Diceros bicornis minor: one gene and its partner. The protein of the gene in region 2 purifies or fractionates together with the protein of the main gene of each other region. This does not show direct contact. Links are inferred from orthologs where the notes say so. Each region holds a gene or a part of one and is shown on either strand. Other genes may lie near its edges.

Region 1 (8,544 bases), on a different chromosome or scaffold from region 2:
CTGTGAGAAATAAATTTCTGTTGTTTATAAGCCAGCCAGTCTACGGCATTTTTGTTATGGCAACCCTAATGAACTAAGATACCAGTTGCAAGTGGGGATCCCAAATCAGAGTAGCTCCAAAAGCTTTAATAAAAAAGTTCAAAATCACTGTTTTTGGCATCGTCTACTGGCATCTATCAAGGAACAATAAAACCAGGATTTCAGGCCTTACCCAAGAGAAAGTGTTGGTGTTCCGAAGAGGGAATAGATTCTAGAGACTAACCCTAGATTGAATCCTGGTTCTGCCACATACTAGTAGCGTAATCTTGAATCTCCAAGTCTGAATTTCCTTATTTATAAATTCAGGGAAATACCTACCTTGCCTGGTTATGGGCAGATTAAATAAAATAACATACATAAAACTACTACTACAATACCTGGCACATTGTACTTACTGAGGAAAAAAACGGTAATTGCTATTATTACATTATCCAGCAATACTCTGGAACTACTAAGTTCAATTTGAAAAACTAAATTATGGAAACTCAAGAAAAATCATGAACTCAAAACCACCCTGAATATGCAAACACATCTAAATAAGGTTTAGTGAAATTGAAGGCAAGAGATTATGAAAAATAGCTGAAAGAGTAAGTCATATAATACACTGTCAAAGGAACAGGCCCATCTTGAGTAACACACAGATGTGGGAGTGGAAAAAGATGGGAAGATAAGAAAAAAGGCAAGTGAGAAGGAGAAAGAAAGAAGGATGCTTTGCAATTGGTGGAAGTGAGAGTTCATAAATCAGGACTGACTGAGGAAAAAGAAAGACTGAACTCTATAGTATTTGCAAAGGAAAAAGATAAACAACTTAAAGTAAGTATTGCCAGGATAACAACTACGAATCTAAAAAACACAATGGGTCCCAGAGGCAAGAGATCCAAGTCCTAGTCCTCAGTGGCCCCACCACTAAGCTTCTAGGGTGTCTTAGTATGAGGAAGATTTGAGTTTCAGTTTTCTCAGTTATCAAGAGGAAATACTGTCCCCTGCCTCTTAGAGAATTCTGTATTCTGCAAGGTAAACTGAGTCTCAGTTTCCTTAACTATACAGTCAAGTAGTGAGATGAGATCATTTCAAAGCTCTCTTCTAGTTTTATGATTCTAGAGGGGACAGAGTCTATATTATTACTAACCTTAGAATTAGATGAGGCCTGCTTACGTTTCCATAAGGAAGAAGAAAAGGAAAATAAGCCACTTGAGGACCACATAAAATTCACCAACATATGCTCTTCTCTTCACAATACTATAAAGAAGCATCTTTCTAAAGAACTTTATTTTTCAGGATAAGCAGTTAACCTAAATTAAGAAGACCAAAGCATCTATTTAAGGAGGATAAGTTACTAACAAGTATACAATCTTCTAATCAGAAGATTTTCCCTTTATTTTCTCTTAGCATTTTTCCTCAGTTCTTCATCTTCAGAGAACTTGTTTTGACAAAGTGAGAAGCTGAGTTCTAAACTTATGTAAAGCATGTGTAGATATTAAAAAGCTAATAGTTTATATATTTTTACAAAAGAGTGCTGGTATACTTAAAGATCAAATTTTAGTTTAAGAAAGGCAGCAACTAAGATAAATATCAACAATAACTGTTACATTAATTTTATACTCCAGGTTAATTTTCCCAAATAATCTGTTATGGATCAGTTTCCAGATCCACCTTATTCATGTTAACACTCCTACCTTTCTGTCTTCCAAAGCCAAAACAATCTTCATTTTACCTTATATGCAGCCTTCTACCACCTCTTTCTATTGTGCATCCATCAACCTATCTTCTGTCAAAGTTTTCCCATTTTTCTACTGAGTATCATAGTTAGGTCCCCACTTTGATTCTTAGTTTTTTTCCCTGGTTTTTCCAATCATTCTCACCACCCCTCAACCCCATGGTTTTAATTTATAGGACTCTCCTTTCTCTTCATTCCTAAGACCTACTTTTACAGTACTGCATTTCCTATCCTCATCTCTTTTTTGATCAGTTTTTGTACATATTACTTCTTCAGAACCTAAGGTTTCTCTTCTCTAGTTCTTATTCCAAGAATATCTACCAACCTATCTCTAGAATCCCAAACACACACTCTTGACTACCTCATACCTAAGTATTCTTCCTACCCCTTTTCTCTTTACAATCACTAGTTTCCAGAATCCTGTCTGATACCACAAATACCACCCAAAACCAACTGCCAATTCAGTTCTCTGTGCTTTCCAGCAATCCCTCTCCCATTTTCAACTCATTATACTCTCTCTCCCACACCTAAATAAACCCTAACCTGGCACAAGCCATTCAACAACCTAAAATTCCAAAAGCCTCTCTCTTCAACACAGCCCCTCCCTTCCCAGTAAAGTTTCCCCCAAAACATTTTAAGTGGCTACTCTCAATACTTCATTAATTCTGAGTCTTACCTGAGTCTTATCAAACCCAGTACACAGCTTCCATCAGACCTATTTGCCCAGCAAAAGTCAACTGCCCAAATCTTCCTCTCTAAGCTTCCCAGACGTTACCTCTCTGCAGCACTCCCACTCACTAAACCCTATTCCTACTCACTTCTCAATTTCCAGAGCCCATGGCCACTCTCTAAGCTACTCAGCCCTCTCCCTCGTGACTCCCCTTATGTCCTACCCTCACTTTTCAGCACATTCCTATTATCCTTAATGGTCTTCTTGGCTATGTTCTCCATCTTTCCTTAGGCCTGTTTCCCAAGCTTTTCTCTCCTAAAAGACCTAATCTCCTAGTCACCCCCTCACTCCCTGAATCTGCCTCTTACACCTCTAGGAACTCGCTCTAGAACCTTCTGCTCCTAGCTCTCTTTCCTTCTCCAACCCTGCCTCAGGTGTTCTCTATTTCCCTCAGCTTTTCTAATATCTAGTTCTCAGTCTTACTCCTTCCAAATCTTTTCCTAGTAGTTCCCCTAAGTCCCCTCAACTCTTCTCAGTCATTCCCCATTTCCCTCAACCCTCCCTGGCAGATTCCCACCACCTTTGTCACCGCTCTGCTCCCCTTCCTCCACCCTCCTCCACACCTCCTTCTGGAGGTGCCTCCTACCTCTCTTAAATTACCCTCTCAGCTTCCTCAATCTTTGCCTCATTCCCTTCTCACTTAATACTATTTGTCCTCCAGTTTCCATTGACTTGGCGCCTCCCCTAGTCCCCAAATCTGCCTTCTACTCCATCCAAACGTCTCAGGCCGCCCCTAACATTCTCTCCTAGCCGCAGCCTCCCTTGCCTGCCGTTCTCAACGCCCAGAGACACCATTCTCCAATGGCCGGGGCCTGGCCGCCAGGGGGAAGGGGTACGAGTCACGTACCCCATTCGCATCTTGGCTCCGCTCTGACTGCCCCCGCTGCCGGGTAGAGGAGGGCGAGAGGGCAGGCGGCCGAGGTGCATGCTCTTCTCGAGGGCCGACATGAAGGGGAGGCCGCAGGTAGTTAAAACAGTAGTCGAAGCTTCGTCCCACGCTAAGTGCGGCCCAACCGGTCACAGCTCTCTCCCCTAAGCGACGCCCTGTCGCCTTTGGACAGCACCCAGCTACCGGCAGCACCGCCCACCGCCCACCGGCTCCGTAAGCCCCACCCCCTCCCCCCCTGCGCTTCCACCGGAAGTGCGCAACAGCCCTCCACAAAGGGAGCTGGGTAACGGAGTCTGAGGACACCTCAGACCCCCAGCGGAGAACGCGACGATCCTCCCCCGAGAGAGAAACGCTCCTGAAGACAATGCACCCTGGGCAATGGAGTTCTCATCGGGCGTATCCCTTTGCGCTTGCGCGAGTGGAGGCGACAGCGTCCAACCTCGCAGAGGTAGTAGAGCAAAGCATCCTGGGTGTTGTAGTCTGTTGCCGGGAAAGAGTCTTGGCGCCTTCCCTTTTCCCCGGTTCTCAGAGACTGTTAAAGGAAGAGCCGCTTCTTCCTGCCTCCCAGGCTGCCCAGCGGCGCCGGTTGCCGGGGAACGCGGGCGCCGTGGGAAACGATGGCGGGAGGCTACGGGTTAGGTGCTGGGGCAGGAGTTGAGCTGGTGAAGAAGAGCTCGGGCTCGTCATGAAACAACGAAAAGGCCAAGGGCCTGGGGGCGGCCGTGGCCGCAAGAAGAGAGGTAACCTGAGAGACCAAATGTTGAGGAAAGGTTAACAGGGTTGAGTTAGGGGAGCAGGGTGTAAGGAATTCGAGGGAGACCCCCACACCCGCCTCTAAGAAAAAAAGAAAAAAGACGGAGAAGAGAGAATAACCAGGAAGGAGAAGGTTAAAAGAGAGGGCAGTTGGCCCTCCAGCAAATGGAAAGGAAGTAGGTAGGGGCTGAAGTGGGGGCCAAAGTGGGCGAATAAATGTGGCTAGGTGAGGGCTAAAAGGATACATGTAGGACATTTCTCGAGGAAGGGCACAAAAAAATTCTAGGAATGTTTTTTTTTTGAGATATAATTGACATAGCATTATGTTCTTTTCAGGTGTACAACATAATGATTGGGTATTTTTATATATTGCAAAATGGTCACGACAGTAGCTCTAGGTAGCATCCATCACCATACGGGGTTACAAAAAAAATTTTTTTTCTTGTGATGAGAACTTTTAAGGTCTGCTCTTTTAGCAGCTTTCAAATACACAGTACACTGTTATTAACTATAGTCACTGTGCTGTACATTACATTCCCATGATTCAGGAGTGTTTTTGATAACAGTTAAATGTGTGTGTGTGTGTGTTGGGGGGAGGATATAGCTTTGGAGGTCCACATGGGAATGGAAGAAACATTAGTTGGAGAGGCAAATATGTCAGTAATCCTAATAGGCAAGGATCACGTTTTATACATTACTGAATCCCCAAGAACTAGCACAAAGCAGGACTCGGTAAATGTTATTTGAATGAGTGAAGCCTGAGACAGTCATGCAGCATGAAAGGCTATAGGCGGGAGTTGGGAAAGATAGTTGTGGAGGAGAGAGGAAGAAAGGGTGGGGTGGAGGTGAAGGCATGAGGATCTCTGGAGGATTGAGATGAAAGCATGTGTAGCAAGAGGACTTTTATCAGGTTAGAAATCTCAAGGAGAAACAAGCTCACCAAGGGAGTAGGGAAATGTTAGCTGCAGCAAGAACAGTCACCCCAGGAACCCAGGGCAGATCGGGAAACTGGAAATTGAACCTCTACAGAGCTGCCTCAAAAAAAAAAAAAAAACATTGGGCAACTCTGCCTTTTTACATTATAGGCAAAGGGGCGTTAGGAATAATAATAGTACATTAGGCCCTTAGGTTGAGGACTGAAGCTACAGTCTGGGAATGAATCTTATCCAAGCTGTTTAAAGATAACTAAGGCAGTTTTGAGGCAGCGTCTTTCCTGCCAGAATGATGGGAGGATATGAGACAGAAGCATGGAAGTGTTCAATACTGGTGCTCCCTGTGTCAAACCGGTCAAGAATATTTGGTTGATAGGAGGAAAATCAAAATAGAAATAACATAAGAATGTCCTTCTTGCTATACCACATGCATATGCAGTAATGTTCATATACACACCTTTATATAATTTTTATATTGAAACTAGTTATCCATAAAGATTATGATGGGTCTTTTCACCACTGTAAAGAGCAGAGGAATCCATAGAATTAGTTATATACATTCCTGATCTGATAGACTCCAGTTATTTTCTTCTTGTGTGCCATGACCACTCCCCAAGGGAGAAGTTAGAGGCATAGAAAGGTGTGTGTAACAGGAATGGTTTCTTAAATCTCCTCTAAATCATGGTTAGAAGATACTGTGATTGGAAGACAATCAGGGTCATTAATGGAAAGTTTTATAGAAAGTCATGATTAGTTGCCTCATGTAGATTTTATGATCTGTTTGAAATCCAATAAATATTATAAAAGCCGATAAATATTGTTAACTGAGAACTGTGCTAGAAAATAGTGGTAGAATCTGAAGAGGATAGTCTCTATCCCCATTGACTGTATGTTGTTGGCAGGAAAGAAAAGACATAGCCAATTTAAGGTGGACGTTGCTGAAATGCTGAGTTGTGTGGTATAGACTGAATCATTTGCGAGTCGAGTAAAGGGAGTTGTTGCTGTTTTATATTTAATGATGTTTTTAAAGTAAGAGAGTTAGGTAAAGATAACATAACCGTGGACATTGCAATAATCAAAACAACAGTACTTAGAAGAAAAATTTCAACTACTTTTGAGATTTTAGAGACCTATCTACTGTATTATTATATTTGTATTTTTCTTTTTTTTTTTTTATAATTTTATTTATTTCTTTCTTTTTCCCCAAAGCCCCAGTAGATAGTTGTATGTCGTAGTTGCACATCCTTCTAGTTGCTGTATGTGGGACACGGCCTCAGCATGGCCGGAGAAGCGGTGCATCGGTGCACGCCTGGGATCCGAACCCAGGCCGCCAGCAGCGGAGCACGTGCACTTAACCGCTAAGCCACGGGGCCGGCCCTATATTTGTATTTTTCAAATGGTGTCTTTCAATTAAAGAGGTGTTCATATTAGCATGTCTTAAATTGGTGTGTTCTTTACTTACAATAACCTGAATCAAACCATAAATACTAATTAGTTATCAGAGTGGCTTCAGTGACCATATAGGTTATTCTTTGGTCTGGTTTGCTAGTTACTTCTCCTGTATTAGAATAGGTAGGATAAACCTTCTTTCTGTAGAGACTAAAATGTTTTTGTGTGTTTTCATTCAAAAAGCAGGTTATATGTTTTCTGTATGTAGTCTGCATTTTGACTTAGTGTTCTTGGATTCCTCCACAGGTTTGAGTGACATTTCTCCATCTACAAGCCTACCACCTCTGGTCGAAGGCCAGCTACGCTGCTTTCTGAAACTTACTGTTAGTAAAGTCATCTGGAAGATTGCAAAGCCTCCCACTTGTGTACTTGTCCGAGTGAGATGGTGGGGAGAAACATCAGATGGAACCCTCTTTTCTCCCAGAGATACATTGCAGACTGAACCAAAAGCTGTGAGAACAACTACACGTTATGCTATTCGCTGTGGTCCAAAGCAGTTTACCTCCTATCTGACAGGTATATTTTTGTCTTATCATTTCACCTGCAGGCCTAATAAGCACGTGATTATGTTGTTAGCAGTAGGTGTTATCGTGTATCTAGTATCTATGGCATTGTTTTTTTTTTTTAATTAATTTATTTTTCCCCCAAAGCCCCAGTAGATAGTTGTATGTCATAGTTGCACATCCTTCTAGTTGCTGTATGTGGGACACGGCCTCAGCATGGCCAGAGAAGCAGTGCCTCGGTGCGCACCCGGGATTCAACCCCGGGCCGCCAGCAGCAGAGCGCGAGCACTTAACCGCTAAGCCACGGGGCCGGCCCTGGCATTGTTAATTGTTGAGGAGTCAAAGAGGTTTTATAATAGCCACTATTTATTGAGAGTATACTATATGCTAGCAGTTGATACATATTATTTCTAATCCTTAACGACTGCAAGATAGGTATTTTCTCTGTTTTATAGATAATGAAACTGAGGTTCAGAGAGATGAAATGAATATTCTCTAAGGTTACATAGTTGATAAATGGCAAAACTAGGATTTGAACCCAGTTCTGTCTGACGCCAAAACTCGTGCACTTCTCAGCGTGCCATGCTTTAAGTAATAACTGCAGTCTCTGCTCTGGGTCTTACTTTCCTTATGCTCAAAGAAAGAAGATATAGATATAAAATTTACTAATAGTACAAGATAATACATGCTAAATGCCAAATGAGTGGTTTAGTAAGTGAGTAATACAGGTTTTCAGAGAAAGGAAGGGTCCCTCTACAGGGATTTACAGGATCCACGTGTGCTGGACGTTGTGCTAGGCACCGTGGGGCTTACAAAAATGAATTTAAAAATTTAACCAGAATGGTATCTAATTCTAACTAAGTTCACAGAGAAGTTTAGTTACAATACTAGGTAGAAAGTGATAAGTGCTATTAAAGGATACCCATAGGTACTCTGGGTACTGTACACATAAAACTTAAATCCACTGGTGGTATTCTGATATAATTTAACAAATGAAGAGTGATTAGAAATTCTTCAGTAAGAGAGAAGATGTCTATTAATATGATAATCAACAGGTCAGACATTTATTTGTGAATCCTCTGGGATAATACAGAATGCATTAGACTTGGCATATGATGTTTAGGTTGGTGTTACTACCTTTGGGATTTTGGGAAAGTCCCTTCCCATTTTTGACCCCCATTTTCCTCATCTATAAAATGGGATCGAGGGCCAGCCCAGTGGTGCAAGCGGTTAAGTGTGTGCGCTCTGCTGCGGCGGCCCGGGGTTTGCCGGTTCGGATCCAGGGCACGCACCAACACACTGCTTGTCAAGCCATGCTGTGGCGGCGTCCCATATAAACTGGAGGAAGATAGGCGTGGGTGTTAGCCCAGGGCCAATCTTCCTCAGCAAAAAGAGGAGGATTGGCAGATGTTAGCTCAGGGCCGAGCCTCCTCAACAGAAAAAAAAAAAAAAAACCGGGATCAAACAGCTGCCCTTTCACCATGCTTTTTTAGGAGGAAGCAGTCTGGCTGAATGAGAACGTGGGCTTTGAA
Region 2 (9,362 bases):
ACCACGTGACAGCTCACTACAGGGCCCTCCTCCAGCCCTCCCCACCATTTCTCCAGAAAAGCAACTCCTGCACAGCGCTGCCCTGCAGGAAGGCAACCACAGTCGTGTTCAGGGGACAGGCAGGCAAAGTGTGCTCAGTTACTCTCTCTCTCTCTGTGATATCTATTCTTCAAATCGTTTGAGAATGGCCATTCTCGAACCCTTGTTACTAACCTTACATCATTTTCACAGGCACTTCCTTTACTGGCATCTCATTTTCATTTGTTTTCCGAGGCAATTTCCTACAAGTCCTGGTGGTGAGATCTCTCCTGAGCTTTAGAAGGACAGAGCAATCCCAAGGTTGGGTGGCCACATCCCACAGTGGGGGCTTCATCAGTACTGGCCGCAAATAGCCACTGAAGCAGTACAGCACTCATGGGCTCTGGAGCCAGTTGGCCTGGCTTCAAACCCTGGCTCTGCCATATAACGTGGCTGCTCACCACGTTAACTGCCCTCTGTGCCTTGGCTCCTGCATCTAAAACTAAGAAGAACAAGAGTTCCTCCCTCTGAGGGTGGTGTGAAGGTTGGATTAATGGACCCGGGTGACTTGGAGCAATCTCTGGAACAAAACAAGACTCAACAACTGTGAGCCATCACCACCTCCAGACTGGGTCCTCTTCAAGCTTCAAGCTTGAGAAGCTCAGACTCTATTGAAGACAGACAAGCCAGGGACTATGATATCGTGTGACATCTGCAAAAGATGTTCACCCAGTGCAAGCTGTCCCAGGAAGGGGAGCAGGGGCTGGGTGATGGTGCCTAAATGTCACGCACAAAAAACCTGCACAGTCAACAACTTCCCACAAGGTGTCACCATGTAGGGCCTAAGTATTTGGAGGCACAGGCTAAGAAACAACTTCTCGCTTCTTCTGGAAGCCTCCCCCTGGCTTCACTATTTTGACTCTTGCTCATCTAGGCATAAAAGTTCACCCACTCCACCTTCAGGGGTGATGACTACAGGCACAGCCAGCTTGCTGTTAGGGGAAGGGGAGAGAGGCAAGTGACCAGTGACTGTCACTCATGCATCTTGTCACCAGCAGGACAGTCACTAATTTCCTTTTGAGCCCAGCACTCCTACTTGCAGGGAGATGGGAAATCCCTGATAGCACCATGGCTGACCTGACCCACAAGCAAAACCCTATTCTTTACAAAAGGAAAAAAGCCATCCAATTTTACACACACAATACTTTCTTCAGGAGTTATGATTCAAGTCCCCCCAACCTATTAGTTTTAAAAACCAAAAGGAAATCACAATCCTCTCTCCACTGTACTCATTCCTCAATCTTCAAATCAGGGGAGTCACATGTACCCCTGGCACCACCTCACGCTCACTAGGCGCTGTCCTCACTCAGGTAAGGAGAGGACCCTCGCCTCCATCTCACTCACTTTCCGATCACCCATTGCAGACGAAAGCAGAAAGACGGTCCAAAGTGCAGGGTTACAGTGGAACTCTTCAAAGCAGAGCCTAAAGCAGAACAAAACCTTCAAGAACAAAACACCTCACAAACCACAAACCTAAACAAGTCAATTTTCTATACCTTAGGTTTTACAGCCCAGCTATCAGTGTACAATAACCTCCCTTAAATTACTCATCTCCTATTTATCTCTTATCCACCTTTCTTCATCAAGGTTGAGTTTGGGCACAGCCAGCTTCTTTATTCTCATTGCTTAACAATCAGTAGTTGCTAACAATTACGCTCTCCTTCTTTATCACCGACTTTTACGGTAATAATACAATCCAAATGAACACTCTCACAACTACTCGACAAAAGGATGACGAGTTATGAATATGCTAGCCCCAACGGGTTACTAACGCCAAAGCATAAGTGGATTAAGACAGAAAGCTCTGAATACATACAGCAATCAAAAAACATAGGAGTAATTACTACAAAGCAATCTTACAGAAAAGATAACTCGAAACACCAAACTTTTAGATGTATTCAAAACTTTACTTGAAGAAAGGGTTTAAAACCGCAAAAAGTCCCAGTTAGTTTAATTCTGAGAACAGAATATTTCTGTCAAGATTTTTTTTAAGGAAGAATACTGTTTTCAAAGTTTAACATCACTTAAAATACACCATTTTAGTTAGAGATAAGTTTTAATTCATTCAGCTTGTCAACAAAAGCCATAAAAAGGGAAAGAAACCAGAAATTAAGACAGGCATTAAGCCGTTCCACCTCCCTACCCCTAAACAAACAGGTTTTGCTTTACTCCCAATAGAAATTTTGAGTGTCACCCATGTGCCACATGCAAAATGAAAAAAAAAAAGTAGTATATCTTAAATGAATATAAAAGAAACAGAATCAATACACTATTTAGTTTATATAAAATCACCCAGTTTCAATCTCAAACCATATACATCTTTACAAATTCCTTACAGCACAGTTTTACTTGCTTAATAATCCGGGTACTGTTTGTCCGATGGGGCCAAGGGCCTCCAGACTGTCATACTGCCAGGGAGAGGTGCAGGGTGGAGAAGGAGGGAGCAAAAGGTCATGGGAGGGGCCAAGGTGGAGGAAAAGTGGCAAGACAGCTGACTAGAGGCTGTTAGCTACTTGGGGCAAGGAAGGGGCACTTCGTGGAAAGACAACTCGTTTTCAAGAGAATGTTAAAGGTTCGCAGCGCTCACTTAAATGGCTGAACAATAAAAAGTCACTCTAAAGCTCTAATGAAACCTCTGAGTTGCTAAGAATCAGCTTTGCATTCGGCTGTGAACACGGGAAAGAGAGGTGGTTTACACTTTAAGATGGCATGTAGCTTTGTGGGAAACTGCGGCAGGAGACAGTCCCCAGCTTCCGGCCCAACACCCTACAACTATGCGCCTTGGCTAGTTCAAGGCTATGATTAAGGAAAAGACCAACCAACTTCAAGTAATACGATAAGGTTAAAGGTAAAATCTGCAGTCTGAACTTTAAAATACATCACTGGAGAGGGAGAAGGAATCGCTAACAAACTTCAAGAATTTTAGTACCTTAGAAAGCGACCTTAAGGATCAAGCGGTCCAACCTCCTTTTTAAAGATGAAGAAACTGAGGCAAAACAGCGTGCCCAAGAGTACACAGGTGATTACAGAAAGCTTGGGTCTAGAAGTGAGGCCTCCCGACCTAGTCCAGGACCACTGCCCACTCCACTCTTGCTTTTCTGCAGTTATCCCAATTTTATGTTTCTCGAGTCCCCAATTTCTGCAATTATTTCCGCAGTTCCACCAAATGCAGGAAGCAGCCACTTGCAATGTGAAGAACCCAGAACCCACTCGGAAGACCGAGATCCCTGCAGCCTCCGTGACCTTGGGCTCCTTACATAACCCCTGCGGGCCTGTCTCCTGTCTATGGACTGGACCCCGGTGCACACGCTCACAGCGCGGTGCGCAGGACACGCGCCCCGACACAGCTCCACCGGGCGGGAGGGGCCCCGGGACCGGGGTCCCAGGAGGGCCGGGCCGGGAAGAGCACGTGGGGTCGGCCCGGGGCGAGGAAGCCCGCCCGCCCTGAGCCCAGGTGCGCCACCTCACCTTCGGCCACGTCCTCGTCGATGGCCCCCTTGACCTGCGAGAAGCACCACTGCAAGTCGTTGCCGCCCGCGGGGCAGCCGCCGCCCCCGGCCCCTGCGAACACACCCGGCGTCAGCACCCGCGCCCCTCGCTCCTGCCCCGCGCCCCCTGCTCCTGCCCCACGCCCCCCGCTCCTGCCCCCGGCGCCCCGCTCCTACACCCCGCGCCCCCCGCTCCTGCCCCCCGCCCCCCCCCCGCTGCTGCCCCACTCCTGCCCCCAGCTCCTGCTCCGGCGCCCCCCACTCCTGCACCCCGCGCCCCCCACTCCTTCCCCGGCTCCCCCAGCTCCTGCCCCGGCGCACCCCGCTCCTGCACCCCACTCCTGCCCCGGAGCCCCCCGCTCCTGCACCCCGCGCCCCCCGCTCCTGCACCCCACTCCTGCCCCGGCGCCCCCCGCTCCTGCCCCCCGCGCCCCCCTGCTGCTGCCCCACTCCTGCCCCCAGGTCCTGCTCCAGCGCCCCCCACTCCCCCGGCGCCCCCAGCTCCTGCCCCGGCGCCCCCCGCGCCCCACCTCCTGCCCCCCGCACCCCCTCGTTCCTGCACCCCGCGCCCCCCGCTTCTGCCCGGTGCCCTCGGCCCACCCCGCGCGGCCCTCTCACCTGCCATGGCCGGCGGCCAGCGGGCGGGCGCCGAGACGGCGGCGGAGGGAAGAGGCGGCCTCCGCGCTGTTGCCGTCCGAGCACCTCAGCCCGGCCGCCGCCGGCGCCGCCGCCGCCGCCAGGGAGGGATTTTTCCCTTTTCAAAATGGCGCCCAATGGCCGTCGCCCCGCTCGATGACGTCATCCCCCTCCGCCTCCGCCGCGGGCCGCGGGCGGGGCGGGGCCGCCGGGAGAGCTCCCCTGCGCCCTGCGGGGCGGGACGGGGCGCGCGGCCGCGGGGGCTGCCGGGGGCGCGCCACGCACCGACTGCGCCTGCGCGAGCCGCGCCCCGCCCCCTGACCCGGGCTTGGCACCGCCCCGGCCCGGCGCTACCCTGAAGACCAGCCCCGGGGCCGCCGTCGGCCGCCCGCCTTGCTCCGGGGGAGTTACCGGAAGCCTGGAGGCGGCCCCGCCCCTCCCCGCGGAGCAGCCAATGGGGACGCGCTCGACGTCGGCGGGCGGAGCGTCCGGGCCGGCCCCGCACCTGCAGCGCGCCGCACCTGAGCGCGTCCTCCCGGCCCACCCCCTGGCCGGGCTGCCAGTCCCTCTCCTCGGACGCGAGTCCGGGGGCGTCGGCGTCCGCCTTCGCTGGCGGCCCTGCGCAGAGCTCGCGTTGTCTACAACACTGCCGTACGATCTTAGGCAAACGTTCGCTGTTGCGGCTCCCCGTGGCCATCGTCGCTTCATTCGTGGGCGTGTGTCCGTGGCGTACGGGGGGTATCCGTACCCCCCGTTTGTGTGTCCTTTCGGTGACGTGAGCTTGCAGTCACCGGCGTGACTGCTGGCGTACCCCCCAGCAGACGGCCGTCCGAGCCAGGGCCAGTCGGCGCCGCGAGCGCCGTGGGCGGATCCGCTGCTGCCTCGGGCGCGCGTCCCGTCCCGTCCAGGGGGCGGCGGCGACGGCAGAGAGCCGGCCCTCGGGGAGCCCGCTCTCTAGGGGACAGACGACAGCGGGGCAGACGGCACGTGTGAGTCAGCCGGCGCTGGAGGGACACGCAGCGGGGGGCCGCGGAAGTAAACGGGTGACGGACAGACCGTAGGAGGCCGGGCCCGGCCGCGACGTCCGGGGAGGGCTGTGCGGGGAGCGGAGGGGTCGTGGCTGACCTGCGCCCTAAGGCGCCGCTGGGGCTGCTCTGCTGAGAACAGGCCGAGGCACCCGAGGGTCACACCGGGGAGCCCAGGGAGGAGGTCAGCCGGTCATGGAGGCGGGGATGCGGGCCGAGTGGTCGAGGGCGTGGCGTCGGGGGAGAGGGCTGGGAAGCGCTCAGGTTTCAGCGAGAAGGCTGTGGACGGCACAGCGCTGGGACTCACGGATGAAGCAGGTGCCGCGTGAGACGCAGACGGACCTAGGATGACTGCCCTCGGGGTCGGAGCGCGGGTGGGAAGGGGCTTTCCCGGCCCCGAGACGGAGGTGCCGAGAAGGGACCCCGGGAGGCGGGTCTGAACTGCGGAGCCGGCCCGGGCCGTGGCACAGACGAGCCTGGGGCGCGCGGGGACGCGGGGCCTGGAGGGCGAGTCCGGGAGGCGAGCGCGTCGGGGAGCTCTGCGAGCCGGAGAGACCGCGCGAGCCCCCGCCGCGCGGGCGGGCGGATGGGCCCGAGGACGGGGCGACCGCGACGCGTGGAGTGCCAGCCCGGTGCAGACGGGGAGGGCGGGCCGGCCCCCAGACGCCGGGCTGAGCGCCGAGGACGGACCCCTGGGCTGTAGCGTTGGGACGCCATCCCTGACCTGGACGGGAGGGGCCGCTGTGGACTGGACGCTGCAAACCCGTGTGAGGGGTTTAAGAGCAAGTGAGAGAAGAATGGGAGCCACTGAGTGACGACCCTTTGTTGTGAAGAGGAGCAGAGAAATGGGGCTGTAATCTCCTTTTTTCACATGTGGATTTAGGCAGTCTGCCCCTGAGCAGTTGAAAAACTGAGTTAACTATCAGACTGTCTCATATACAATTGCTTTAATGTGTATTAAAGATAAGTCTTTTGAAGTGACGGCAAGATAATTAGTTTTGGTTTAAACTGTATTCTTTGGTTAATTAGCTACCATTAAATTAAATTTAAAAACAACAAAAGTAATATAGTGAGTGAAAATAGTGAGCTGCCTTCCTGTGTCCCACTGTGCATCAGCTGACCAGCAGGAGATTTTTATTTATTTATTTTTTAAATGTTTTATTTATTTATTTTTTTTGTGAGGAAGATCAGCCCTGAGCTAACATCCATGCTAATCCTCCTCTTTTTGCTGAGGAAGACCTGCTCTGAGCTAACATCTATTGCCAATCCTCTTCCTTTTTTTTTCCCCAAAGCCCCAGTAGATAGTTGTATGTCATAGCTGCACATCCTTCTGTATGTGGGACGCGGTCTCAGCATGGCCAGAGAAGCGGTGGGTCGGTGTGCGCCCGGGATCGGAACCTGGGCCGCCAGTAGCGGAGGGCGCACACTTAACAGCTAAGCCACCAGGCCGGCCCCAGCAGGAGATTTTTAACTATTCCTTTTTATGATGCTAAAGAACTTTAAATAGCTCAGTGAGTTACTCTGAATTCTAACTGGTGTTTACAAGTCCCTGGGTGTTGCAAGGCAATTTTCTTGTTTTATTATTTTTAGATCTCATAGCCAAATTGTGAAATGCCTGGTGTGTATTAGAATCTAGAATCCAGCCTGTATTAGAATCTACAGCCTCCCTGTATTCGTACAAGGGAATACTACTCAGTAATAAAAAGGAATGAACAACTCATACAAACAACAGGGATGACTCAAATTTTAAAGGATGAACCTGCATTGACACATCATCCCCCGAAGTCTATAGTTTACAGTAGGGTTCACTCTTGGTGGTGTACATTCTGTGGGTTTGGACAAATGTATAATGACGTGTCCATCAATATAGTATCATACAGAGTATTTTCACTGCCCTAGAAATCCTCTATGCTCTTTCTCTTCACCCCTCCCACTCATCCCTGGCAACCACTGATCTTTTTACTGTCTCCATAGTTTTACCTTTTCCAGAACGTCTTAGAGTTGGCTTTTTTTTCACTTAGTAATTTAAGGTTCCTCCATGTCTTTTCATGGCTTGGTAGCTCATTTCTTTTAACTGTTGAATAATATTCCATTGTCTGGATGTACCACAGATTATTTATCCGTTCACTTACTGAAAGATGTCTTGGTTGCTTCCAAGTTTTGGTAATTATGAATAAATCTGCTGTAAACATCCCTGACTCTTTATAACCTGCCTCCTTACTGCTGGAGCTCAACAAGGCATTAAACTCATCCCATCTTTTTTTTTTACTCCTGCCAAAAAGGATTGGATCCATGAATTTTTCTCCAAATGATGAAGGAAAGGAAGGAAGGAGAAAAACAAATGAGGGAAAGAAGAAGAGAGGGGAGGAAGGAAGGAGGAAGAAGGAAGGAAGGAGAGGCTATGGCCAGACTGGTTGTGCTTTGCTGAATTGAAAAGGAAGCCCCGCCGGATGCTGCTCCTGTCTCCTGGGCCTCTCTTCTCTGACCCTGCCACATTGGGCTGTCCCCCTCCCTTCTCCCAACCCCCCTTCCTCAAAAAAAAATCTTTCCATGCTGAACTCAGCAAGGTAGAGGGAACATCAGGGTTTCAGGAACAGCAGGGCCATCTCGTGCTGGCTTCCCACCTCCAGAACCGTGAGATAATAGACAGGTGTTGTTTTAAGCCATTAAGTTTGTGGTAATTTGTTAAGGCAGCAAAAGAAAACTAAATGTGTGCGTGTGAAATAAACAGACTCGTAGCTACTCATTCCTCTTGCTGTTCTCTGCTGTCTGTGGGTCTAGGATTTAGTTCAGTCGTTGATTCACGTGGACACATTGAAGCTGTAGCCATGTGCAAGCAGTCGATCACTAACCATGTCTGTATTTGTTGGGCATAGGTGTGGGTCACCTCCCGAGGGCCCAGCAGGAACAAGCATGGAGGGATCGGTCTGTGCTCTCAGCTGTACCATGGATGCTGTCCGAGAGTCTGGAACAGCCCTGAGCACTTCACGTGTATCGTTTAAGGCTCACAGAACCCTACGACCTAAGGATTATTATCCCGTTTTTTGGATGAGGGAGCTGAGGCTAAGAGAGATTAAGTCGCTTGCCCAGGCATCACAATCACTCGGCATCGACTACAGTTTAAGCTCAGGTCTGACCTCAAGGAGGGGCCCAGATACCATAAAACGTGAAACAACGTGGTGGATGATGCCCAGGCCCCAATGATGTGGGCAAACCAAAGGGAGAACCCCAGAGCTTCCTCTGCCCAAACTGCGTCTGCCTCGCCAGAATCACGCCGTCCTGCAGTGGCCTGTGTGAACTGACCTGGCTCGTAACCCGCTCTCAGGCTGGGTCTGTGCGTGGGGATGGGAGGGGGACGGGGCAAGCATCCAGCTGCTTCTGGCTGATTCAGTTGCTTTGCCACAGGAAACACTCGAGGTGAACCTGTGCCACAGTGGAGAAATTGTTCCTGGTTTTACTGTCCAGAGAGTCGTCCGTCCTGGGCCTTTTGCAGGTTGGCTAGGGGACGGCTTCATGCCAGTGTCTTCATCATTCCATCCCCTCAGCTCCCTTTCAAGGGTTCCGATGTTACCTCTCCAAACACATGGCTGCCTGTAGCCCATTCTCTCCTCCCATGCTCCCATCACCCCCTTGGCCCTCCTTGGAGTCTCCCCTTCTTCCTGGCTGCAGCCTCTCACCTGCCCACCAAACCCTTCCACCCTCTGGCTTCCAAGCCTCCCTCACAGCCCCGCCCACTGGCAGGAATCCAACTCTTCAGATTCGGTGTTTCCTTCCTCTGTTAGAAAAGCAATAGCAGGCTCCCCGGCAGCGTGCCCTTGAAGCTCCCCACCTGGAGGCAGAGACAGGTGGGCGTCCGAGGTCTTCTCACCTGCAGCCAGATGGTGTTGTCTGTGAGGTGCTGAGCCTGCGCCTCCTTCCTCCCCCTGGAGCCTCTCCCACTGGGGGGGGCCTCCTTTTCCCCGAGGGGCAGCCCTCCGTGTAGACCTGGGGACAAAATCTCAAAGTCTTGTTTGTTCAGTTCAGGACGAAAAGCTGAAGCACAGGTGTGAGACGGGAATGTGAGAGACCGCTTGCTGAGTCCGCCCACCCTCCTGTGTCTGTGCTGGGAGAGAAAGGGCCATTGAGGGGCAGCTAG

Evidence for each region.
Region 1: the proteins of PPP2R2D (region 2) and PPME1 purify together in Homo sapiens (affinity purification with mass spectrometry; 4 studies listed by BioGRID and IntAct, counting the BioPlex papers as one, with this or other methods). This does not show direct contact. The link is inferred for Diceros bicornis minor from reciprocal best matches to the Homo sapiens genes PPP2R2D and PPME1.

The regions. Positions count from the first base shown.
Region 1 is NC_080746.1:56,784,431-56,792,974, forward strand, and holds the start of PPME1 (protein phosphatase methylesterase 1), read right to left. Parts: upstream 3,544-8,544; 5' UTR 3,435-3,543; coding exon 3,334-3,434; intron 1-3,333. Other genes in the region: C2CD3 (C2 domain-containing protein 3), read left to right, coding at 3,754-3,823, 6,756-7,025. UniProt on the Homo sapiens protein: Demethylates proteins that have been reversibly carboxymethylated. Demethylates PPP2CB (in vitro) and PPP2CA. Binding to PPP2CA displaces the manganese ion and inactivates the enzyme.
Region 2 is NC_080745.1:93,945,536-93,954,897, reverse strand, and holds the start of PPP2R2D (serine/threonine-protein phosphatase 2A 55 kDa regulatory subunit B delta isoform), read right to left. Parts: upstream 4,274-9,362; 5' UTR 4,192-4,273; coding exon 4,185-4,191; intron 3,640-4,184; coding exon 3,547-3,639; intron 1-3,546. UniProt on the Homo sapiens protein: Substrate-recognition subunit of protein phosphatase 2A (PP2A) that plays a key role in cell cycle by controlling mitosis entry and exit. Involved in chromosome clustering during late mitosis by mediating dephosphorylation of MKI67.